Linked DNA regions of Oryctolagus cuniculus. The protein of the gene in region 1 interacts with the protein of each later gene in a pairwise test. Links are inferred from orthologs where the notes say so. Each region holds a gene or a part of one and is shown in the gene's direction. Other genes may lie near its edges.

Region 1 (8,145 bases):
CTATGGGAAAGTGCATTGCCACCCGAGGATGCTCAAGATGGCCACTGCAGGCTCTCGGGGACACGGGGACGTCAGGACCACTCTGCCTCTCAGGCGTAGACAGGCGTGGGCTGTAGTGCCCGGCCTGGGAGTCTCACAGCCAGAGCTGAATGGGGAAGGGTCCCGGGCCTGGAAGCCCCCAGGGCGTGGCTGTGTGAGACTGGATGATGGGCCTTGGTTCCCGGGCGGCCTGGGTCAGAGGTCGGCGGGCTGCAGGGAAGTGGGCCGGGCCGCGGGTTCCCGGGCAGGATGTTGTGCTAAGAGAGCAGTGAGCAGAGGAGTCACCACTCTGGCTCTGAGTCACAGCACCTAGCTACAGCACCCCAGTGTTTATAAACAATGGGCCAGGGCCCGTGAGAGGCCCCCGCCCAGCCACCCGCAGCCCGGGGAGCCGTGCGGAGCAGGGGCGCGTGGCAGGCTGTGTGACCTGGGTGTCCCGGGCTGCTCTGAGCGTCACACACAGTGGGTGCACAGCTCTGGGCCGCGGGGGAGGCGGCGCAGGCGGGGCTCCCCTAGCTGTCCTGGAGCCCAGCCCCCGGCGCCCTGGCTCTGCCCGTTCCAGGCGGTGACAGCGATGTGGTGCATCGTGTGGCGACTCCAGGCCGGCCGGGAACAAAGGCCCGGCTTTCCCCAGAGCTGGGGGGCGGGGCGGGCAGGGCGGGCAGCCCGGACCACGTGGGCCGCAGGCGGGGTGGGTGCTCCCGCCTCTCCCTTCCCGCGGCCCCGCCTCCTCTGGGCTCCCCAGCCTTCCCACCCCCTCAGTGCCTGACTACGAGGTAGGAGCCCGGATTAGGCCCGGCAGGAGGTCGGGAGTGGGGGCAGCCGTGCTTGGGAAGCTGGGTAGGAGGGGACGTGGGACAGCACGGGGTGATGCTGGGAGGTGCCAGCCCCGCACACACACCGACCACCTGCTTCCCTGCACTGCTCTGTGCTGTAAGCAGAGCCCCAGCCAGCCCCGCCCGTGGCCACCCCTGCGTACCGCCCCCACCCCCGCCCGCGGCCGCCCCTGCGTAACAGCACAAGTCACGCGTGAGAGATCCCCTCTGCCTCGGGGGTCCCCACAGCGCCCGCACCACGTGACCCAGCGGTTGGCCACGCAGGGTGACAGACTGGGGACAGCGTGGGCACCCCAGGACGGTCTCCCTCCTCGGATCCCCGCTGACGCCAGGGCCTGCCTCACTGGGCCCCCCCTGTCTGGACAGGGCCTCCGTCCCTTCCCAACCCAACACCCAGCCGGGGCCGGGCTGGGAGCCCCGTCTGCAGGGCGGGGAGTGGACCAGAACCCGGGCCCCCCGGTGCCCTGCACCCCCTTCCTCTGTTTGCTTTTGCAACATCTCTCCCACGATTCGGTTACAAGGCCGTGCCGTGAGCGCTGGGCAGACCCCTGACTGCCGTCCGGGGCTTGATGCCTGGTGTGGGGTCAGCTGTGTGGGCTCCACTCATTTGCCAAGCACCAGTGGGGACAAGCTGGGATGGGGGTGGGGGAGGGACAGCCCTTGGCTGCACCAGCGCTTGTCTGCTGAGTGTAGCTGTGAGCCGGGCTCATGCTGAGTCCTTGCTAGATCTGCCAGTGCCCTCGTGCCCATTTTACAGGCGAGCAAACTGAGGCTTAGAGGTGCTGTCACTGGGTTCCAGAGGACGTGGCTCCTTGGTAGCCACTGTTTCCCAGAGGTTAGGATTGAGTGGCAGCCTATGCAGGAGGCCAGAGATGGCTTCTGACCCCCAGTGGACAGGGCCCTCAGAGCCGGGCGTGGAGTGGGCAGTGCTGCTGCGTTAATGAGCGTGACGTGCTCCCAGGCCGGGGACGCTCATGCAGGAGTCCGAGGTGGCGGCCGCAGCAGCAGGAAGGCCAGGGTCAAGGCTGCAGTGGCTAGGAGGAGCCCGGGGGCCAGTGGGGACCTAGCTTCCCGTCCGGCGGGATTGGGGTCGGGGGAGGCGCCTCCGCCAGGCCCACCTTCCGTCCCAGAGACTCCTCACCTCCTGGGTGTCTCCGAAAAATTTCTCCTGCAGGAGGCCGCTGGTACGAGTTCAAGGTCGCGAGCTCTGGGGGAGTCGAGGGGAGCCGTTAGGAGGGCAAGAGTGGATTTGAGTTTGAAGACCCCTGTGTGATCCTCCGTCCCCCACCCCTTCCGTGACAGGTCAGGAAATGGAGGCCCGGGGAGGCAGTGCCCAGTGGGGACAGGAGCCTGGCTGCTTTAGGCTCTGAGTCTCCTGTTCAGCCAGGTCCCCTGCACCCCACAGAGCCCCCGAGGGGGATGTGAGGTTGTCGGTCAGAGGGGGCGGCGGGGACTACTGGGGTGGGGGCTGCGGAGCCCCTGCCTCCGGGGATGCGTGTGCCCAGCCCAGCGCCCTCCGGTCACCGTCCAGCCTGGACTTCGCCCTGAGACTGCTGGGCTTTGGGCTCGGGCCTCTGAACACCACGGAGGGGGGTGTAGGCTTTGTCAGTTGCTGGCCCGGCGCGGGGCCTGGAGTCCCCCCACCCCCAGAGATCCTGGGCAGCACCCCGTGCTCTCCAGGACACGGTCTTGGTGGCTTTGTACTCATTTATTTTTAAGGTTTCTTTATTTTCATTTTATTAGAGATAGAGACTTGCTGTCCACTTGTTGGTTCACTCCCCAAATGCCCACAACATCCAGGGCTGGGCCAGGCTAAAGCCGGGAGCCTGGAGCTCCATCCGGGTCTCTGACGTGGGTGACAGGCCCCAAGCACTTGTGCCATCTGCTGCCTCCCAGGGCGTTAGCAGGAAGTAGAGCAGCTGGGACGTGAACCAGGCACTGCCGTGCGGGTGCCCCTGTCCCAGGCTGCACACAGTGAGACCTCGGGCCTGTTTTTCCTTATTCCCTGTGTCCAATGAGCACGTTGGCCTGGCTGAACGGCTTCCTAAGTCTGGCATGCAGCAGAATGGGAAACCTGGGGACAAGCCAGCACCTTGGTGTTGTTTCTAAAACAGATTTATTTGAAGGTCAGAGTTAGAGGGGGACAGACAGACAGGTAGGGAGAGCGTCCATCTGCTGGTTCGCTCCGCAGATGGCCACACAGCCAGGACCGAGCCAGGAGCTTCGTCTGGGTCCCCACGTGGGCGGATGAAAGGGTGATAATGGGGCTGGTATTTTATTTATTTATTTATTTATTTTTGCTACCCTACTCGGTGAGATGAACTGTTGGTGACCCCAGCTTGACCCTCTACCGGGCCGTCAGGGCTGGGGCACTCTGAGGTCCGCCTGGCTGGAAAGGCTGCCAGAGTGGGCGGTGGAACCCCTACCCCTGCCCAGGCCCCTGGGTGTGCCCCTGCACCTGCTCAGCTCTGGCCAGGGCTACAGGGCTGGGGCCTGGGGGTCAGAGGGGACGGCTGGCCCCTCCCAGCTAGGAACAGCTCCAGCCAGAGCCCCCCACGACAGCTGGGGCGAGCACCTAGCCGTTTGGCAGGCCGATGGCCTCACACAGGCGGGAATTCCTGGCCCTGCCCGTCACGGGGGCAGGTATGACAGCCACGCTGGTGACAGCAGGCCCAGGCACTCCGGCGCTCAACTCCATCAGAGCAGGCAGGCAACGGCACACAGGCCAGGGCCTTGGGAGCCCACTCTCCCATCGGGCTCCTGCCCCACCATGGCCCGGGAAGCAGACCAGGCCTGCCCGGGGCCCGCCGTGCCCAGGGGGAGGAAGAGCTCCGTGTTCCTGGCCTGCGTCTCCGTGGTGACTGCCCGGCGTCGCGCCCTGGCCCGCCAGGCGGCCCCCCGAGGCCCACCCCCCTGGCCAGCCCCTCTGCCTGCGCAGGCCGCCGAGGTAAGTTCCCAGGGCAGCCGTGCCTCCGCGGGGGAGCCTGGGCACGTTTCTTCCCGGGCGTCCCGCCTCCCTCCTTGTCAGAACTCGTCGAAGGAGTTTGGCTGGAAAACGTTGGGGAATCTCCGTCTCCCGTCCCAGGCGTGAGTGAGGAGGCTGAGGCCGCCGTGCCGGGGCTGCCACAGGCGCCCACTCTGGCTGGCCTCTCCGCCCACCCCGGCCCCGGTGAGTTGGGGCAGGGGAGTTGGGGCTGTGAGCGTCTGTGCGTGCCGTGTGTCTCGGATTTCCGAGGCCTCGGGTGCCTTCTTTCGTCCTCTGTTCTGAGCCTGGTTTTACTGTCATTGTCCCCATTGACTGCTGGGGTCGCCGAGGCGCAGGGTGGTGAGCCTGGGAAAGACAGTGGAGGCTGGGACTTGAATTCCAGTGGCCACCGGGGGCACCCCAGGACCCTCTGCTCTGGCTGTTTGCCGTAATTTTTAAAAATTTTAATTCTTTTATGGTTTTAGTATTTATTTTGATAAGAGTGACAGAGGGAGAGCTTCCCTCCCTCTGCTGGTCCATTCCCCAAATGCCAACCACGGCCAGGGCAGGGCCAGGCCAAAGCCAGGAGCCTGGACTCCCTCCAGGTCTCCCTTGTGGGTGGCAGGGGCCACAAGCCGTCGCCTGCTGCCTCCCAGGGTGCGCGTTAGCTGGACTGAAACAGAGGAGGGACGCAGTCCCAGGCCTCGCAAGCAGCAGCCCGGCCGCTGTGCCGCGAGGCTGGTGCCCTCACCCTTGCCGAGGGTTTCAGAGGGGCACGGCTGGCAGCTGGCTGCCCACCCACCAGGAGAAAGGAGCCAGCGGGCGGCGATGCTGGACCCCGGGCGTCTCGCAGGCGAGGCGGCGTCTCCCACCCAGCGCCGTGCCGGGCCGCCCGTTTCTCCCTGGGTCTCTCCGAGGCCTCCCAGTCTCACCTCTGCCGTCCTCTGCCTTCAGGGCTCAATTTCCAAGCTCCCGTGGGTCCCCCAGGCTGGCGCGCTTGTGGAATGGGTGGTCCTGGGGTGTCGGGCAGTCGTGAGAGCGGCCCCAGTTCCCTGTGTGCGGCCCCGGAGCCCTTGTCCATGTGGCCGCAGGCCTTGGTGCACCTTGTCCTGATGCCCTGGGACAGGAAGTTTAGGGTCAGGATGAGGTCACTTCCCTCCGCTCACTGTGGCCTCCCAGAGGCCTTCACGCCTCATGTCCCCCTCCTGCCCTGCTCTGATTTCTTGGCATCAGCAGTGGTGCGGGGGGAGGCACGGGGCAGGCGGGGCTGTGCCAGGCCCTCTCTCCAGCGCAGGAGCCCGGCGGCCAGCCCAGGTGTGTCACTGCCCGCTGAGCCGTGTGCTCATCAGCCCACAGGGGGCCACCCCAGGGCTCAGGCGGGCCAGGAATGGTGACAGCTGTGCCGGGAAATGGCCCAGGGGCGTGGACAGGCCACGCCCTCAAGGTGGCCTCCCCAGGCTCTGAATATAGAGCACAACAGAGTGACCACCGGGGAGAGGCCTGACCCTGACCCACATCTGCCCACCCAGCTGCTGGTCCAGCTTGGAGGGGGCAATGGCCGAGGGCTGTGGCCGCTCAGATGTTGTCTTGTGCCGGTTCCCACTCTGAGCTGCATCGGCGCCTGGGCCCAGACCCCATCCCTGGGACCCGGCCCAACGGCAGGCCTGGGTCCTGACTTGGACATGGGCGGAGCCGCACTGTGAACAGTGTCTCGCGCCCCCTGACAGAGTCGGGTGGGGGATGGGCCACGTGGCCAGCTTGTGAACCAGACCCGGAGAGCCGAAGGCCGGAGGCTCCGGGCGGGTCTGTGGGTGCCGGGCTGGACGTGGGACAGGGGCCACCCGAGCAGCTGATCTGAGGCCTGAGGACAGTTGGGGAGCCAGGAGGAGGCTCTGAGGAGGCGCGAGCACTCCGGCTGCCGTGCATCTGGGGGACCAGTGATGGCAGGGGGTCAGGGAGAGAAGGGGCCTTGGGGATCTGGCCTGAGGTCACCTTTCCCCAAGCCGGAGGTGGGGGGGGGGTTGCCTGTGACTAATCGACCCATAGGTACCCGCCCCGACCCCAGGCGACCCATAGGTACCCCCCCGACCCCAGGCGACAGGGCGCTCCGGCAGCTTCCGCCCGGCCTCTCGCTGTCCCATGCGGGAATGCAGACCGTGTGCGGTCAGGGCGGCAGCATTTCCAGAAGCGGAAACGTGGATTTTCATATTAAAGTCACCTGACCTTTCCCTGCTGGCTCAGACATTTAAAAACACCTCACCGGCCAAAGAAAACACGCGTGTGGGCCGGGCGGGCCTGGTTCTGGGCTCTGGTTGTGTCTTTCACAGGCCATCTGCCAGCAGACTCCGACCGGCCGTGCTGGCCCTGGAGGAAGGGGTGGGGGGTGGAGATGCGCTCCCCGGGGCAGGTCGGGGGCCCGGAGGAGGGGGAGCAGGGCTCCTCTGCCCCTCCCCTCCTTTTTTTTTTTTTTTTTTTTTTTGACAGGCTGAGTGGACAGTGAGAGAGAGACAGAGAGAAAGGTCTTCCTTTGCCGTTGGTTCACCCTCCAATGGCCGCCGCGGCCGGCGCGCTGCGACCGGCGCACCGCGCTGATCCGAAGGAAGGAGCCAGGTGCTTCTCCTGGTCTCCCATGGGGTGCAGGGCACAAGCACTTGGGCCATCCTCCACTGCACTCCCGGGCCACAGCAGAGAGCTGGCCTGGAAGAGGGGCAACCGGGACAGAATCCGGCGCCCCGACCGGGACTAGAACCCGGTGTGCCGGCGCTGCAAGGCAGAGGATTAGCCTAGTGAGCCGCGGCGCCGGCCTCCTCTGCCCCTCCTAGCACCAGGGTTCCCCTCGGCCTTGATCTTCAGACTCCCCAAGGTCACAGCAGCCCGCGGCCTCCAACTGCCCCTGCGGCTGGGGGTCCCCAGCCCCTCGTGGTAGGGATGCCACGCGTGACCCCTTCTCATGGAGCGAGGAACGCGGGAAGCGGCCAACCTGGGCCCTCCCTTGACGGCTGCTGGAGACTGAGGGAGGGGCACTGAGTCTCAAAAGCCACGCCCTCTTCTTTGATGGACATTTCTCCTGTGGATAATTGCAGACAGACACAAAAGGAGGAAAAACGGCAGTAAGGGCCCCCAGCTTCACGGCCGTCATCGGCACAGAGCCGCTCTCTGCCCCAGGACCCGCCTTTCCCCTGTGTGCAGGAATCCCAAGGACGTCCCACCCACTGATAGCCCCGTGGGCAACTCTAACAGTACCCAGAATGCCAGTGCTGGGCCTCAGACAGCGCTAACGTCCTCGCCCACCCAGTACCCTGCACACACAGGGGTCCTCTCGTGGCTCCCCCTCCACTTTCTCGGTCACCCTGGTCCAAAAACACGGTGCGGAAAATTCCAGAAATAAGCAATTCTTGGGTTTTAAATTGTGCACCTGCCCGAGCAGCCCGATGACGTCACGCGCTGTCCAGCCCTGTACCCCAGGACAGGGCTCATCTCCTCCTCCCGCGTCTTGGTTATCCGATGGACTGCCCACGGTGCTTGTGTGCAGGGTTCGGCATCCCACGGGGGTCTCGGGCCGGATGCCCCACAGATCGCCTCCATCTTTCCCCTTGGGCTGTCTGTGGGGGTCCCACAGTCTGGAGTCTGCGATTCCCCGAGGCTCGTTCCGAGCACGGCCCAGGCTGGATGTGGCTTTGTTTTCCGGTGCACGCACTTGGCGAACAGCAGCCACAGGGGGCACATGCAGGCCTGGTCCCTCTCTTTGGGGCTGGCCTCGCCCCTGGTAAGGGTCTGCCCGCAGCCCACGGGGAGGATGAGGAGGGAGGACTGGTGGTGAGACCCCAGGGGAGGCGCAGCCTGGTTGCTGCCTGTGTCCGGGTCACGCCCCTTCTGGAGGTCGGGGGCTTCCCTAGGCTGACTCATTCACGTCCCCTGTACAAGGAGAGACCCCTGCCACGCAGGTGAGGTGGCGTGACGTGCCCGAGGGAAGGAGGGCACCACGGAGTTGGGCTTTGCTGGGCTCCAGGAGTGTGTGTGCAGCCAGAGCAGGGAGCAGGCCCTACCAGGAGAGGGGACGGGAGAGCCATGCATGGGGCGGGCAGACAAGGCAGAGGGGAGCTGACAGACCCCAGCCGGAGGGGCTGGTTAAGTAAGGCGGGACCCCGCACCCCTGCCCAGCGGATGACATCTGGGTGGTCAGGCCTGTCCAGCCTCCGCGCCCACGGTCTGTGCCTCCAGGGCCCACCCCCTGGGGAAAGAGATAACGAGTGGAGAAAGGACATAAAGGCGGACAGGTGCTGCCCCGGGAGAAGGGATGGGAGT
Region 2 (8,045 bases), on another chromosome or scaffold:
TCAAGAAAGGCTTTGTCATTGTCAGATATTTTGAATGAAGAGGTGGGAGCAAAAAGAATGAGTTTCTGATGTTCCATTTTCATGTTGTCTTTTTTTCTACTCACAGCAAGTTGAAGTAGACTGCCAACAGTGTATGCTCGAAATCCTGGACACAGCAGGGACGGTAAGGATGTTCTGTCTTTCTTTGATAGCTGTTAATTTGTGAACAGGTTTTTTCAGAATTGCTGAATAATTCCCAGTAAAAATAATAATTCTGATTATGAACAAATTTTGTGAATGTAGGTCATCTTAAATTCTGTGTGTATGAAATTCGCTGTGATGTATTCAGTGCCACATATTGAGTTCACCTGTAGAATCTGTGTTGGTTTCTTCTCTTCCTATTGGAGTAGAGAGTGTGATCATCAATGCTTTAGAATATAGTTATTTTACATCTAGAGTGTTAGTTAAGATAGGCACTTCTGTGAATGTCAGTCGTCTCTGTCTCCCTCCCTCAGCCCCCACCACCTGTAGTCCCCTGGTTTCTCAGAGAGGCCTGTGTCCCTGCAGCTTCTCAGATGCTCTGCCTGTTTCCCCTCAGGCATTTTCGCTTGCTGTTCCCTGTGCCTGGGAGGCTCTTCTCTGCACGCCACAGAGCTCTCTCCTTCGCCTCCTTCAGATCCTCCTCAGCTATTACCTGTGAGGCCTTCTCTGATCATGGTCTTCTAAACTATGACCTGATGTTCCCTCTTGCCAAAGAGACTCGTCTCCTCCTCCCATGCTTTATTTTTCCGTGTAGTATTTGTACAACCATCCTGCATATTTTTATACTTTGTTTTTGTTGCTATTCAGAGATTTTTACCTCTCTCGTTCACCATCCTTTCTCTAGTGCTACAGCAGTGTCTGGCACATACAGGGGCCTCTGGATATTTATTTAATGGATGAATCTCATAGAATGTCCTTAGGGTGAGGCCGGCACTATGGCAGAGAAGGTTAAGCCTCTGCCTGCAGTGCCGGCATCCTAACAAATGGGTGCTGGTTCAAGTCCCTGCTGCTCCACTTCCCATCCCGCTCCCTGCTAATGTACCTGGGAAAGGATCAGAGGATGGCCCAAGTGTCTGGGCCCCCATACCCACTTAGGGGACCCAGAAAAAGCTCCTGGCTCTTGACTTCAGCCTGGCCTAGCCCCAGCCCTTACAGCCATTTGGGGAATGAACCAGTGGATGGAAAATACCTCTGTGTCTCCCTCCTTCTTTCTTTGTATCGCTGCCTTTCAAATAAACAAATAAATATTTAATAAAAAAAAAATGTCCTTAAGGAAGAGGTGGGCATTCTCAGTAGGGGGTAACACCAACCATGTTGGTACCGTAAGGCCTTTTTTAAAATTGGATTTTCAGAACTAAGTTGCCTATATGTATTTATTCTTTTAAAAATAAATAACAGAAAATATTCTATCAAGAGTACATAGGAATATTGATGCTAGTATTTGTAACAATTCTATTTGTGTTTTATATATTTTGTCGTTTATTACGTATTTAAGTATTTAGATGATGGCACAATTTATTTAGTTACTGTAATGATGCTATCCTGGAACATAGTTTATAAATGAAAATTCCAGGAAACCCCCAGTTTTAATACCTTTCTCAGAAAATGCACTGCCAATAGCGTAGAATACTTAGCATAGTCCTTTGGCACACCTAAGACTCAGGATAACGAGTGGTAGTGTAGCAGACTTCCTGAAATCCACAGTGACTGCATCAGCCAGGGTAGAACAACTAACTATTTCAGATGTTGTATACAAAATAGAGGTAATGATGATGGGAAGCCAGAAAGCCAAGGCAGGAAACCCTTCAGAAACATTGTGGAGTAAGGCCTTCTTTTATATGCAGGACTCCCAAAGATGTGACGGTATAAAACATAGAGTTACAAATACCCAAAATATACTTGTATATGTTTTAAATATGTTACCATATTTGCTTTCTTAATGCTTTGTATAAAGTATCCAGTTTATGCAATTCTGTTTTATACTAATATTTATAATTATATAGTAGTGATAATTGCCAAATAAGAAGAAATAGACTTAAAACAGCACTCTAATTTGATGTGACTGTAGCTCCGGGACTAAATGTTAACAGTAGTGAATCTGACTGAAGGACATGGATAGTCCTTGCAGTGTTCTCACTTTCTCGAAGTTTTAAAACTGAGAATACATGAACACATTCTTACCAGAAGAATCGGTTTGCCAATAAGTGTTCGAGATTGCCTGTGCTGGATGATTAAGTCACAGTTGAGGACTGAGTTTATGCTTCCGATTGTTTTCACTTGGGCCGTGGTTATGTCATGAGCTTCCAAGCAAAATTAAGATATGTATATATAAAAAAAGAATTAGCTACAGTTCTTCTAAGTCACAGAAAGCAGATTAAGATGGAAATTCCTTTTAATCCTATAGTTTTGTTATCACTGTTTCTGTTCACCTTGGTAGGGAACAGGAACATTGACCTCAATTACTAGAAACTATGTATTCCATTTTGTGTTTCTGTCATAATAGCATGTGATTTAAAAGGGAAAAATAACTAGCTTACTTTTGATTATTCTGTTATATTCAAGAGCTTTATACTTTTATAATTACGCATGTTTTCTTATAGGAACAATTTACAGCAATGAGGGATTTGTATATGAAGAATGGCCAAGGGTTTGCACTGGTATATTCAATCACAGCTCAGTCCACGTTTAATGACTTACAGGACCTGAGGGAACAGATTTTACGGGTTAAAGACACAGAAGATGTAAGTATTTTTTTCTCTAAGAAACATAGTGCTATTTTTCTTCAGCGAAATAAAAATTTTTCTGTTTACTCTATCAGTAGGGGATTTGGAAGGTATCTTCCACATGCCAAAAGGTCCCTGAAGCAAACAAAATTCATAAAGCTTCCAGAATTAACTTGCAAATTATATGCTAAGGTGTTTGTAAAATGAGGAGATATATGATTAAGTGCTCATTATGCCATGTAGGTAAAACATACAATAAAGAAAGAAAAAGAGTATTTCACAGAGCACAGCAGGTTAAACCTCTGCCTGCAGTGCTGGCATCCCTTATGAGTGCTGGTTTGGGTCCCGGCTGCTCCACTTCCCATCCAGTTCCCTGCTACTGTGCCTGGGAAAACAGCAAAAGATGGCCCAAGTGCTTGGGATCTTGCCACCGACATAGGGAGACCTGGATAGAATTCCAGGCTCCTGACTTCAGCCTGGCCCAACCCCAGCCATTGTAGTCCTATCTGGGGAGTGAACCAGCAGATGGAGGATCTATCTATCTCTCTCTCTCTCTCTCTCTCTCTCTCTCTCTCTCTCTCTAACTCTGCCTTTCAAATAAATAAGCAAATCTTAATAAAAGTACTTTGAGTAAGAAGTGAGACTCCACTCTGCAGTCCTACGTGTAAAGGAGCCACCTTAATGTATTCTAGTAATTCACTGTGAATTACAACAAACCAGTGATGTCATTCAATTGTGTATTTGTCAAATCATTTACGTGACTTCAATAAAATGGTAAACTTGCTCACTGCAGAAAAAAAAAAAAAAGTAGGACTTGAGCTTTGGAAGCTGCTAGTTACGGCAGAAACAGTGGTCAGGCCAGCGCCGCAGCTCAATAGGCTAATCCTCCGCCTGTGGCGCTGGCACCCCGGGTTCTAGTCCCAGTTCGGGCGACAGATTCTGTCCCGGTTGCTCCTCTTCCAGTCCAGCCCTCTGCTGTGGCCCGGGAAGGCAGTGGAGGATGGCCCAAGTGCTTGGGCCCTGCACCTGCATGGGAGACCAAGAGAAGCACCTGGCTCCTGGCTTTGGATCAGCGCAGTGGCCATTTTGGGGGGTGAACCAATGGAAAAGGAAGACCTTTCTGTCTCTCTCACTGTCTAACTCTGCCTGTCAAAAAAAGAAACAGTGGTCAAAGAACACTGAACAGTATTAAGAGCCGTAATGGTATATTCTTTCTATTTCTATTCTATTGATAGAGTTTTTGCTTACATGCAGATTTTTCCCCTTGTAATTATGTGAAAGCATTTAATTAGCTGGATTTTTTTTTTTTTTCCAAATCAATAATCTTTTATTGCATTATTAAAATACCACAAGACACAATCTGGATTCTTGTTTCTGCAGCCGGATAACTTTTAGGTCTTATTCATCAGCCTGTTGAACTGTTCCTTTTTCAGAGACATAGATACCATCCAAAAATTTTCTGATATCTTTATTTTTAACTGTTGTTGCCTGCTGAATCAAAGCAGCTGAATTTGAAACAAGTTCAATGTCATTTCCTTCAAGCACTAATTCATCTTTCTGGGCTTGAGACACTGAACAGGCAACACCTGGCCTCATCCGAACCCTTCGGATGTACTTTTCACCCAAGAAATTTCTAATTTCAACAAGAGACCCATTCTCTTGAATAACCACGTTGATGGGGAAGTGAGCATACACTGACCTCATCTTGTATCGGAAGCCCAGTGTAACCCCCTTGATCATATTCTGTACGTGACTACAGATCGTGCGAACAGTTGCCAGTTCCTTTCTATTTCCCCACCATTTGTCAACCCGGAGCCTCTTCTTTTTCTTTCCCAGGAGACTGAGTTCCACATTGATGTGGTTGAAGTCCTTCCGCAGGGTTCCTCTGGGCCCCTTCACAATGACTGTGCGCCCCTTCAGACTGATGTCGACATTTTCTGGGATGTCGACCGTCTGATTGCTGAGAATGGTCTTCATTCTCGCAGTAGATGCGGCAAAGAGAGCAGCTGGATTTTTTAAAATTTAATTTTGCTTTGGAAATTTTGTCTAAATTAAAAATAACATTTTTGCCAAGATGAAATATATAATTCATGTTTACCTCAGTTTTGAACAGCAAAGAATTTTCTTTTCGGTTGTACAAATTAGGATATACAGTTTCAGCTGTTTTTGTGTCTTCTCTCCAATTATTAATGAGAGCATATACATATGCTCATGACCTTGACTTAGTAATATTGTTGGTGGAAGGGCTTTACACCATTGACTCATAACCAACTGTGACCTAATGAGTACTTTTCTTCCTTTCCATGACTAAGAAAGTTGTTTTCATAGGCAATTATTTGCAAGTCACTGAGCCCTAGTTATGTTAATCCCTCTATCCTGTATGATAAACTAAAAAAGATGGATTTGAAGATGTCTGATGGGTTTAGTCTAATTTGTGACAATTGCCCATTCCACCAGGTCTCTCCTAAATTCTTTCCTTTGTATAGTGTTCATCACCTTACAAACAAATGACTTTGTTTTCTTGACACCCTTTTACTAAGAAAGTTAATAAACTTTGTTTTGGCTGCCTATTTTACTGGAAATAGGAAGTCATAACTACATGTAGCTGAGCATCTGTGATACGGAGTAAAAAAGGAATACATAACTGCTTTCTGGCTTTATTTTTATTGTTCATCTTTTTTAACTCCTCAATTATAGACAGGTCTTCAAATCTACGTCTAGAATAGATGTTAAATGTAGATAGATATAGGACCTGTTTCTATGTTGGTCTTGGCATTGCTTGAGCGTTTGTTTTGTCTGTGAGATGAAGCACTTAAGTCAGGTCCAATGAACACATTCTCTGTATTGCAAGAAGTTTCTTTCCTTTTCAGAGTTTTCTACTTGGTATTCATCTATCACAAATAGTCAGCATGAGAATTTGGGGATTATATTCCTAAAATAATTTAGCATATGACTGCGATAGGATCTCTTCCATGTTTTTTGATATTTACCCTTTCCCCCCAACATACATATATATAATTACTACAATACAATATATATATATGCATACATACACACACAACACCTTTTTATGAGGGTACTTGGCAAACCTAATAATCCTAATAAATTTCAGTTAGTGGCAGATAATTGGTTATTTGTAAGAAGAGAGCAAGTAATAAGTATTTCATTGCTCATTTTATGTTTCTTCTTTCCCATAGGTTCCAATGATTTTGGTTGGCAATAAATGTGACCTGGAAGATGAGCGAGTAGTTGGCAAGGAACAGGGCCAGAATTTAGCAAGACAATGGTGTAACTGTGCCTTTTTAGAATCTTCTGCAAAGTCAAAGATCAATGTTAATGAGGTAACCTACAGCTGCTGGGCAGCACAAATAAGTGCCTTTTTATTTTCCTTGGCTTTAATTAACACCTAAAAATTTTTTAAGAAAACGTTTTGTTCTTCTAAGCAATTGTGTTTCTGTCACTTTGTACAAAACACTAATTATTTCTAGAAACCTTATTCTTAAACTTGCATAGGATCATTTTGATGGCTATAATGAGGACACTTCAATTTTTTTGTCAAGAAAGTTAAAGAATTTGTATAAAATCCTGATAAGCCTCTAAATGATTTGCCAGAAGGTGGTGTTTCAGAACTGTCATATCACCCTGTATTGTAGTAATTATCTGTCTAGATGCATGTAAATGGGTTCTAAAGTCAAGTAAAGAAACACAGCAAGCAAAGTAGTTTATTATAAGAAGTTTTTGTTGCACAAAATGATGTTGCTACCTTTGGAATCACAAGATTTGGTGTTCTGAATCTTGCCGTGCCTTTGGTGCGTGATGCAAAGAAAAGGAATTTGTGAGAGTGTGGACATGTAACTGGAATCCACTCAGACCATTAGAGCTGATAGAGCAGCTGCATAAACTCTGTGTGTGTCCGTGTGTCTGTGTGTATCCATCCGTCCCTGAGTTAAACACTCCACTATCTTGACAGCGTAGCTATAGACAGAAATGCTTAGCAAGTAAGCTGCACGTCTGGGTGTAAACGGCCTGTTTTCTGGGGTCCTAAAATTTAGTGCAGTTCTTAACTGCCCCCATCAATCAAGGGTCCTTTTCCTTTTGTTAACTTTACTGTGCACCTTGTTTAAAAACAAAACAGACTGGGTTTTTTCTTTCCTTTTCTGTTGCCTGTGTGCTTGTCATTTGTGGCATCATTAGAATGGGCCAGAGTTCATATTATTTAGGGCACAGGTGAGAGAAGAGCAGATTTGGTTATCAGAGTTCTGTGATTTTCTTGCTGTCCTCTCTGATCTGTGATTTTGTAGATCCCTTTTCCTTCATTGATAATTGTAGACTATTACCTGACTTTTAAAATGGCCAGGTTACCTTAGGTGCCTGATAGAAAACACTTAAACATGCTAGATACAAATCATATGTTTTACAAAACCATTTTTAAAAACTACATAAAAATAAGAAATTAACAGATTTAACTTCTTCAGGAAATACTTACTGAGTACATACTATGCATATGGTACTGTATTAGACACCCAGGTAACAGGTGATATTCATCCGGACAGATACGCCCCTGCCCCCAGGAGGTTTACATCCTAATAGGGAGAACGAGACCTGCCACTGCCAAGCAGATGAAAGGAAATACGGAATATGCTTCCACCTCCATTTTCTCTTTTGTAGGATTACAGTTTGCTACAGCTTATTTTGAAAGATGTGGTTAATAATAAAGTTTTAATTTTTAATATTTTTTTTTAAATTTTAACTTTATTAAAGAATGCATTGAGATTGGTAGAACGTGCTTGGGTTTTGGAGCAGTCGTGTGAGGACACGCTACAGGATGATTGGCTGCAGGAATCGGTTCCTTACTAGGTTGATGCAGGCTCTGCACCTGGGACCTCTCCCTTGGTAGGCAGAACACCACGGAGAGGAACTTTTCCTCACCTTGTAGTGTCCCGTGTTTGTAGAAGCCTGCATGCCACTAACCCTCCTCTGAATTGCAATTGCCAATACAGCACAGCTGTTTTTTCATAGCAGTCTTGTTAAAGTTGACCTTTGACATGACGAGTTTTTATGAAAATAGATGGAAAATAATAAAATGAAATATATTAACCATCTTAAGAATCTTTACTGTTTTAGAAAACACACCAGCTTCAAGATAGAAATTCTTGAGTATAATAATTTGATTTTTTAAATGTTTTTCTCTTTATAGCCTGATAATCCAGCTATTGGATTCCTTTGATAATTAAGAGTTCCTTAGTTTAAGCATTGTAAATGTTTATGTGATTTCTAAATGCCTGAAGCTAGAGGGATTTA
Region 3 (8,045 bases), on another chromosome or scaffold:
TTGAGGAACTGCCATACTTTTGCCCAGGAAAACAGCATTTTGGATTCCCACCAATAACAAAAGCATTCCGGTTTCTCCATATCGTTGTCCAAACCTCTGAATTTGTCTTTGTTTTCTTACAAGTTTTTAAAAATTTTCCTGATAATTGATAGTGTTGAGCGGCTGCGCATTTCTCTCTCTTCTTCAGAGAAGAGCCCTTCTCAAGCCCTTAGCCCGTTTTTTGAATTGGGATGCGGTTTTTTTTTTTGTCTTTTTGTCTTTTTGTCTTTTTGGTTGTTATAACACCTTTTCACAAGTAAAAGCTGCACCATAATAATCCAGACTGTGTTTCTCCCTTCTCAGGATTCCTACAGGAAACAAGTAGTAATTGATGGAGAAACCTGTCTCTTGGATATTCTCGACACAGCAGGTCAAGAGGAGTACAGTGCAATGAGGGACCAGTACATGAGAACTGGGGAGGGCTTTCTTTGTGTGTTTGCCATAAATAATACTAAATCATTTGAAGATATTCACCATTATAGGTGGGTTTAAATTGAATGTAATAAATTAGCATTCAGGAGTAATTATAGCTTTCATGTATTGAGTATTTCTTACCACAGTGTATATATTATATAATACAAATTTTAAAATATTTTTGAGCATCAAATTCCTATTTTACATAAAATGAAGTTCTTGCGCATTAAAACAGTTGAGTAACTTGTTCTGGGTTCCATAGATAGTGTTGGTGCTGGGACTGAAACCTAACCTATACGTGTCTGGCTTTAAAATATTCTGTCCTCCTCACCTCCCTACAGTAGAGAAACTGGACTTTAAAAGTCTTAGATACATGAAAATATGAAAAAGCAATTTGAGGTGGTCTTCAGAATAATGTATATTCAGTGTAGAACTTCTTGGATTGGATAAACGATGGCCTTATGTATTTAAAATTATACTTATGTAAAAATAAAAAGCATTAGAGCAATAATAGGTTTTTAAAAAATTTTAAGAACTTTGCATAAACTACTTTAAAATTATTACTGTATTAAATATTCTGTTTCTGAAGATTTACCATTTTTTTAAAGCTATTAAAACAAATACTCCACTTACTAGCTATATCATGTAGCTGTAAGTTAGCCACTTTAGAGGTTTAACCTTTTAAGATCATTTCTGGTAGCATGTTTACCCTATAGTCTAGTATTAAAGAAAAAAGTTTAGGCGATGGGTGGTAGTGGTATTTATTTTATAGAGTAGTAAACAAGTGAAATTTGTTAACTGACCTGGCTTTACTCAGCTAATCCATAGGCAGGGGAAGTAGGAATTTCAGTCAACCCTGCTGTGTTATCTCCTGTGCTCCTTCTTCCATGCCACTTCTTGAAAAATCACCTGAAATTGTGAAGGAATATAATTTTACCCCAAATGTAGAGTTTATGCATATTGCATATTGAAAATTAGCTACATAAGAAAGATTTAACAGAGTAAGCAGTGTTGTCCACATAAAAACTAAAATCTTTCTGCTTTTTCACTTTTCCTTATTGAGAAAGTAATGTGAAAATTATGTTAATGCTATAATTCATGTTTTTGTAAAAATATTTTCAGTTCTATACTTAAACTTTGAACCACATACATGTTTCTAAGATTATTGCTATTGAAATTAGGCATAACACTTTAAGTCTAGAAGTTTTCAGTATTTTATCTTTGCGATCTACCTGCATATTAATTTCTAGGCAGTTAATCTTTAAGTAATATATAAGGTCTCTGTATAAGGTGGAGGGAAACAATAACCAGAAGGAGAAGCAAGGGAGATTGGTATGGTTGAAGCTAGGAATTTCCTTAAAAGTCTTCTTTTATCCAAAATGTGTAAGACAGAAGTTGTGGACAATTTTGGAAATATTTTTGCCTTACTAATGCTCTGCTATAACTTTATTTCTTCCCCAGAGAACAAATTAAAAGAGTTAAAGACTCTGAAGATGTACCTATGGTCCTAGTAGGAAATAAATGTGATTTGCCTTCTAGAACAGTAGACACAAAACAAGCTCAGGACTTAGCAAGAAGTTATGGAATTCCTTTTATTGAAACATCTGCAAAGACAAGACAGGTAAGTAAAGCTGGAATCAATACAAATCCATTTTCTGCAAAATATTTCAATCATGAATCATACTTTACTAATAGATATTTTAGCATCATTTTAATGGTAGGAGAAGGAAATTAATGTGTTCATATGTGATAACATTACTATTCTGTCATTGATGTGATTTTCAGTTTTTCTCTCAGTGTGTTAAAATAGCATATAGAACGGTACCTTCTCTTGAGCAGACAGTGCTTCTTAATGCAGTGTTATGGTAGTACTTTCCGCTTTGATTTCTTTCCACAGTGAAATTTCCCTTGCTCTGAGCACATCTTACATTCAAGAAATGTGCGATTTCACGTTACATAAAGACAAAGAACAGGGGAACAGATTTTGAGTTTGTGCTTTTAAGAGTATCATGTCATGTGTTTCTAGATTGAATTTTGTTATATTTGAAGAAATTTTACTTTGGCATTTTTTTTCTCATTAAAGAGTATTTTGAAAGTGAATAGAAATTCCATTATTCATTTAGTGCATTGTTCTGGCAAAAATTAATCCCAGTTAGAACCTAAATTTTGTTAAAGAAATCATCATTTAAAAAAAATATTTTATTTATTTGCAAGGCAGAGTTAGAGAGAGAGATCTGCCATCCACTTGTTTACTAACCAAATGGCTGCAATGGCCAGTGCTAGGCCAGGCTGAAACTAGGACTTCATCCTGGTCTCCCATGTGGGTGTAGAAGCTCAGGGACTTGAGCCATCTTCCCACTGCTTCCCCAGACACATTAGCAAGGGAGCTGGATCAGAAGTGGAGCAGCTGGGACTCAAATCGGTGTCTAAATGGGATGCTAGTGTTGTAGGCAGCGGCTTTTAAACCGTTATGCCACAATGCTGGTTCCAGTCATCTTCATTTTAAAAAAACTTTTTCTCTAGGTAAAATAAAATAATTTTAGCTAATACTATCTACCCTGTTTGTATGAAATAAGAGTTTAACATTTAAAAGGAAAATTCTGGAAAGGAACACAAAGATGTGATAGAATACAATTTTCATGCATAGACTGTAAGAACTTGTACAATATATGCTCCATACATTTTTTTTGGAGTTTTTTCTGGTTATGCGTACCTGTGAGCCCACAAAGATGGTTTTGTAGAATTTAACTCTTGTGTTGCTAGGAATTTAAAAAATTGATAAACAACTCATTACATAGTTAAACTCAGAAAAGCAGGCATTCTAGATGTTTGTTGAATTTTGTAAAGGGATAAAAACATAAGTGTAAATTATTCAGCTGTTATTTATGAGTTACTTCTCCAGTGAGATCATAAGTAGCTCCTCCTGGTTTGGTACACTATTTGGGTGTTTGTTTTGGAATTAAAAACTGAATTTTTGCAGTTTTTCCATCATATACATATTTCTTCTATGGCAGATAAATTATTTAAGTAAAGACTTGGTATATTTCACTTCAGAGTAATTAGGATTTCATTCAAATTCCTTCCCAAGTTCCAAATTTTAGGGTGGTTTGTTTTTTTTTTTGTTTTGTTTTGTTTTGTTTTGTTTTGTTTTGTTTTTGGTCTTTCTCTAGTCTTTCTTACTAGTCTCAATTTTCTTCAGCAAAGAAGGTACTCAGAAAACATGATTATAATATTTATAGCTTTTTCTTCCAGTCCTTTTTTTGGTTTTGTTTTTAGTTTATTTATTTGAAAGGGAGCATTAGAGAGAGAACAGGCAGGGCAGGGGAGAGAGATCTTCTGCCTGCTGGTTTGCTCCCCAAGTGGCTACACTGGCTGAGGCTGAGCTACAGGCAGACCAAAGCTAGAAGCCTGGAACCCCATCTGGGTCTCCCACATGGGTTGGCAGGGGCCCAAGCAGTTGGGCCATCTTTAGCTGCTTTTCCAGCTGCATTCACAGGGAACTGGATGGGAAGTGGAGCAGCTGGGACTTGAACTGATGCTCATATGGGATGGTGGTGTCACAAGTTAGCAGCCTAACCAACTGCACCGTGACGTCAGCCCTCCGATATTTTTTTTATGAAAAAATTTCGGATTTAAAAAATTGAAAAGAATTTTTATTGAAAACATTAGCAAGCCATCTATACTGTTATTAATATTTTATTGTAGTTGTATTATTCATAGATTTTAAAAATTTCTTTTTAGTCTTTTGAACATTTTTGTTAGCATTTCACATAAAAAAGGTAAACAGTAGAGAAGTGCTAGTACATTACAGTGCGTGCAGATCAAAGGGCTTATTAAGATCTCAATTCTAAATCAATGGGCTTAGGTTGGATCCTGTGAGTCTGCATGTCCAGCAAACCCCAGGTGATGCTGGTTTTGGTCCATGGACCACAGTTTTAAGTAGAAAGGTAGTTAGATGATACTAAAAGGACTCTTCCTTGTTAGTACCACAGTGTAGCTCTTCACTCCTTTCCCTGTTGATTGATGGCTGCCGCAGAAGCACCAGGTAGCTGATTCTTGGTGTTTTGGTGTTTTGTTATTAATGCTGTAATGTTTGAAGCATTCAGCTATTCATAACTACTCAGAAAACTACCCTGGCTTGCTTGCCCTTTTTTTTTTTTTTTTTTTTTTTTTTTTTTTTTTTTTAACGATTTATTAGTTTATTTGAAATGCAGAGTTAGAGGCAGAGAGAGAGAGAGAGGTCTTCCATCCACTGGTTCACTCTGCAAATGGCTGCAGTGACTGGAGCTGGGCTGGTCTGAAGCCAGGAGCCAAGAGCTTTTTTTGAGTCCCCCATGTGGGTGCAGAGGCCCAAGCACTGGGCCATCCTCTACTGCTTTCCCAGGCCACAACAGAATGCTGGATCAGAAGTTCAGCAGCCAGGATGGCAGGCGGAGGCTTTACCTGCTACGGCACGGTGCTGGCCCCTACCCTGGCTTTCTTTTAAAATATATTTTTAGTTTTAGGCTGTTTTGAGGCCTTGATTTCTTTGTTGTTTTTTTTAAAGGAGTATGATATAGAAGTGGATTAAGTGAAGTTTGCTTTGTAGACATTAATGTGGACCATAATTAAAATGTAGAATGAAATAATATGAAAGAATATTTCTCTTTCTTAACCTAATGTCTAGCATATCTTAGATTTATATCCTACTTTATTGATGTATTTATGAAATTTATGTTGCTAAACCATAATGACATTTGATTTCTGTTGAGTTCTTTTTATTAAGTGAACTGATTGATTTGCTTTGAAATAAGGTAGCCTTTAATCAGTTCATGCATCTTCCTCTGTTGAAATGAATTTAATATTTGCATGTGTTACAAGATTTTTAAAGAGCTGTTTCAAGTAATTATAGATAGTAAACTTGCATATGTAAATTTTAATGAGTTTTATATATTAGGTTTTGTGAAACTTTGAAGCTCTAGCCTTGGCAGAATATTTTGTTATTTCTGCAGCATATTTTGTTACTCGGTTGTTGTTCAATAAATTTATTTGTTATTTGAACAAAATAACTTCATAAGTATCCTTGTATTTTATCAGCAGCTAGTTTTGTGCCCTAATTTTTGATTTTTTTGATCATGAGCCTAAAACACAAACACCAAAAAGAAGCATACAGGTTAGTAGGGAAAGAACATTAATTTAGTTACAAGTCAGGGACTGGCAAGCATGTTCTGTAAAGGGCTAGATAATAAATATTTAAAATTTTCAGTCACAAGTGTTCCTTGTTGTATATTAGTTGTTTTTTTTTAGACTCCTTTGAAAATGGAAAAATCATTGTTAGCTTGTACATAGCACGGAAATCAACTGCGGCCCCGTTTGGCCTATGAGTTGGCAGCTGCTGAGCCCTGACTGACTTTCACCTTAGGTCTTACAAAAGATCTTCTATCGGGCCGGCATCGTGGCTCACTTGGTTAATCCTCCACCTGCGGTGCTGGCATCCCATATGGGCACTGGGTTCTAGTCCCGGTTGCCCCTCTTCCAGTCCAGCTCTCTGCTGTGGCCCGGGAGGGCAGTGGAGGATGGCCCAAGTGTTTGGGCGCCTGCACCCGCATGGGAGACCAGGAAGAAGCTCCTGGCTCCTGGCTTCAGATTGGCATAGCTCTGGCCGTAGTGGCCATTGCGGGGGGCGGGGGGGGGGGGTGAATCAGTGCAGGGAAGAAGACCTTTCTCTGTCTCTCCCTCAATGTCTAACTCTATCTGTCAAGTAATTAAAAAAAAAAAAAAGGGGGGGGGGGTCTTCTATCTTCTGATTCCCTTCCTAAATGGCAGCAACAGCCAGGAGCCAGAAACTTCATCCAGGTCTCTGACATGGGTACAGGGGCCCAAGCACTTGTTTGCCACCAGCCCGGATTTCAGAGTATATTTTTGCCAGCTTAGTTACTTTGTAATAATAAAAAGGCCATTGACTGGCCAGAATATAATACATTATATATTTTTTATATTCAGTTTAGTCCGTATTTGAAAAGCAAAAGGAGTTATTTTCTACTACTACATAATATGTGGTCCCCACGTTCCTAGTACATAAGGGCTGATACCTACTTCACATTTATCTGGGAAAGAGGTGTTTGACGGATTTTTCTGGTTCCTTTGAGTTGTGTATAGCAGGATCAGCAAAGGCTGTTTAAACTGAAACATTGACACAATAGGATCAGTGTGTGTTTCAGTCTGTAAAAATCAAAAGTGGGAAGAGTTCAGTGCATAGATGGCAGAAGCAGTACTTTAGTCTGCTACTCCTGTTTCCGCTGTTTTGCTTTCTGGAGGACTCAATTTGAACATTGGAACAACTAGTTTTATGAACCTAAAGATACTGAGTGATTAATTTCCTATTTTGTTGTTAATTTCAAGATACTTAATTTTAGTTGTTAGAAGATCTCCATTAAAGAAAACATCTCAGCCGGCGCCGTGGCTCACTAGGCTAATCCTCCACCTGCAGCGCTGGCACACTGGGTTTTAGTCCCGGTCGGGGCGCCGGATTCTGTCCCGGTTGCTCCTCTTCCTGTCCAGCTCTCTGCTGTGGCCCGGGAAGGCAGTGGAGGATGGCCCAAGTGCTTGGGCCCTGCACCCGCATGGGAGACCAGGAGGAAGCACCTGGCTCCTGGCTTCGGATCAGCGCAGCACGCTGGCCGCAGCACACCGGCCATAGTGGCCACTTGGGTGGTGAACCAATGGAAAAAGGAAGACCTTTCTCTCTGTCTGTCTCTCTCTCTGTCTGACTATGCCTGTCAAAAAATAACAAAAAAATAAAAAAGAAAGCATCTCATGAAATTATATAGCAGAATAAGCAAGAACCCTCCTTAGTGCCTTGTCAATAGTGGAGTTTGTATACATGAGATGAATACTTTGCACTTCAGCTTTTTTCAGTTAAAAATCAACAAAACCTTGGTCCTGCACCTGCTCTTCGTGGTGCATATCCACCTAAGCAGTGGTATTGCTGCATTTGAACTCCACTTGATTTAAGCTGTAGTTTGGAAGGTTTTTTCAGATAACCGAGTATGTGAAATTGGTTTTTAGACTGCATTTCCTCTCTCCATTCTCATCCCCTAAGAGGGCCCATATTCCTGCATCTGTGTATGCTTAGGCTATGTGATGTACAAGAATTTTTTTCATGAATGACTCCATTGAAGCAGGTATTTGCAACGTAAAGAAGACCTTTCTCTCTATTTCTCTCTCTCACTAACTCTGCCTGTCCAAAAAAAAAATTTTTTTTCATAGTAAAAGCATAGACAAAAGGATATAATGATACTATTTAACAATTTCCTGGTGTTACTAGTATTTTTTCAGGTAATGGTTGAGCTGAAAATATTGTCAAATCTCTTGATTATAAAAATTTACACATTTAAACTTGTATATATTTGTTCCTGCATAAATATTTACAGTTGTGCTTAGAGTATAATAAGTAACATTTTAAAATGAGTATACTTGGCAGCCAGCCATATTCTCAAGAACAAAGTATTGAGTGCCAGTTGAGAGCTTAGTAACTAGCTATCGTGGGTATTAAATGTCTGTTTTAGTAATACTTGATCTTTGAAAAGTATGCATATTTGGGAATATGAAAC

What was found.
Region 2: the proteins of RALGDS (region 1) and RAP1A interact in a two-hybrid assay, tested with the Homo sapiens proteins (3 studies listed by BioGRID and IntAct). The link is inferred for Oryctolagus cuniculus from reciprocal best matches to the Homo sapiens genes RALGDS and RAP1A.
Region 3: the proteins of RALGDS (region 1) and KRAS interact in a two-hybrid assay, tested with the Homo sapiens proteins (3 studies listed by BioGRID and IntAct). The link is inferred for Oryctolagus cuniculus from reciprocal best matches to the Homo sapiens genes RALGDS and KRAS.

The regions. Positions count from the first base shown.
Region 1 is NC_091432.1:235,230,084-235,238,228, reverse strand, and holds the start of RALGDS (ral guanine nucleotide dissociation stimulator), read left to right. Parts: upstream 1-3,618; 5' UTR 3,619-3,645; coding exon 3,646-3,822; intron 3,823-8,145. UniProt on the Homo sapiens protein: Functions as a guanine nucleotide exchange factor (GEF) activating either RalA or RalB GTPases and plays an important role in intracellular transport. Interacts and acts as an effector molecule for R-Ras, H-Ras, K-Ras, and Rap.
Region 2 is NC_091438.1:58,669,239-58,677,283, reverse strand, and holds part of RAP1A (ras-related protein Rap-1A), read left to right. Parts: intron 1-106; coding exon 107-163; intron 164-2,621; coding exon 2,622-2,762; intron 2,763-4,041; exon of another isoform or gene 4,042-4,142; coding exon of another isoform or gene 4,143-4,721; exon of another isoform or gene 4,722-5,941; coding exon 5,942-6,085; exon of another isoform or gene 6,086-8,045. Other genes in the region: large ribosomal subunit protein uL6-like, read right to left, coding at 4,143-4,721. UniProt on the Homo sapiens protein: Counteracts the mitogenic function of Ras, at least partly because it can interact with Ras GAPs and RAF in a competitive manner. Together with ITGB1BP1, regulates KRIT1 localization to microtubules and membranes.
Region 3 is NC_091440.1:122,522,434-122,530,478, reverse strand, and holds part of KRAS (GTPase KRas), read left to right. Parts: intron 1-342; coding exon 343-521; intron 522-1,914; coding exon 1,915-2,074; intron 2,075-8,045. UniProt on the Homo sapiens protein: Ras proteins bind GDP/GTP and possess intrinsic GTPase activity. Plays an important role in the regulation of cell proliferation.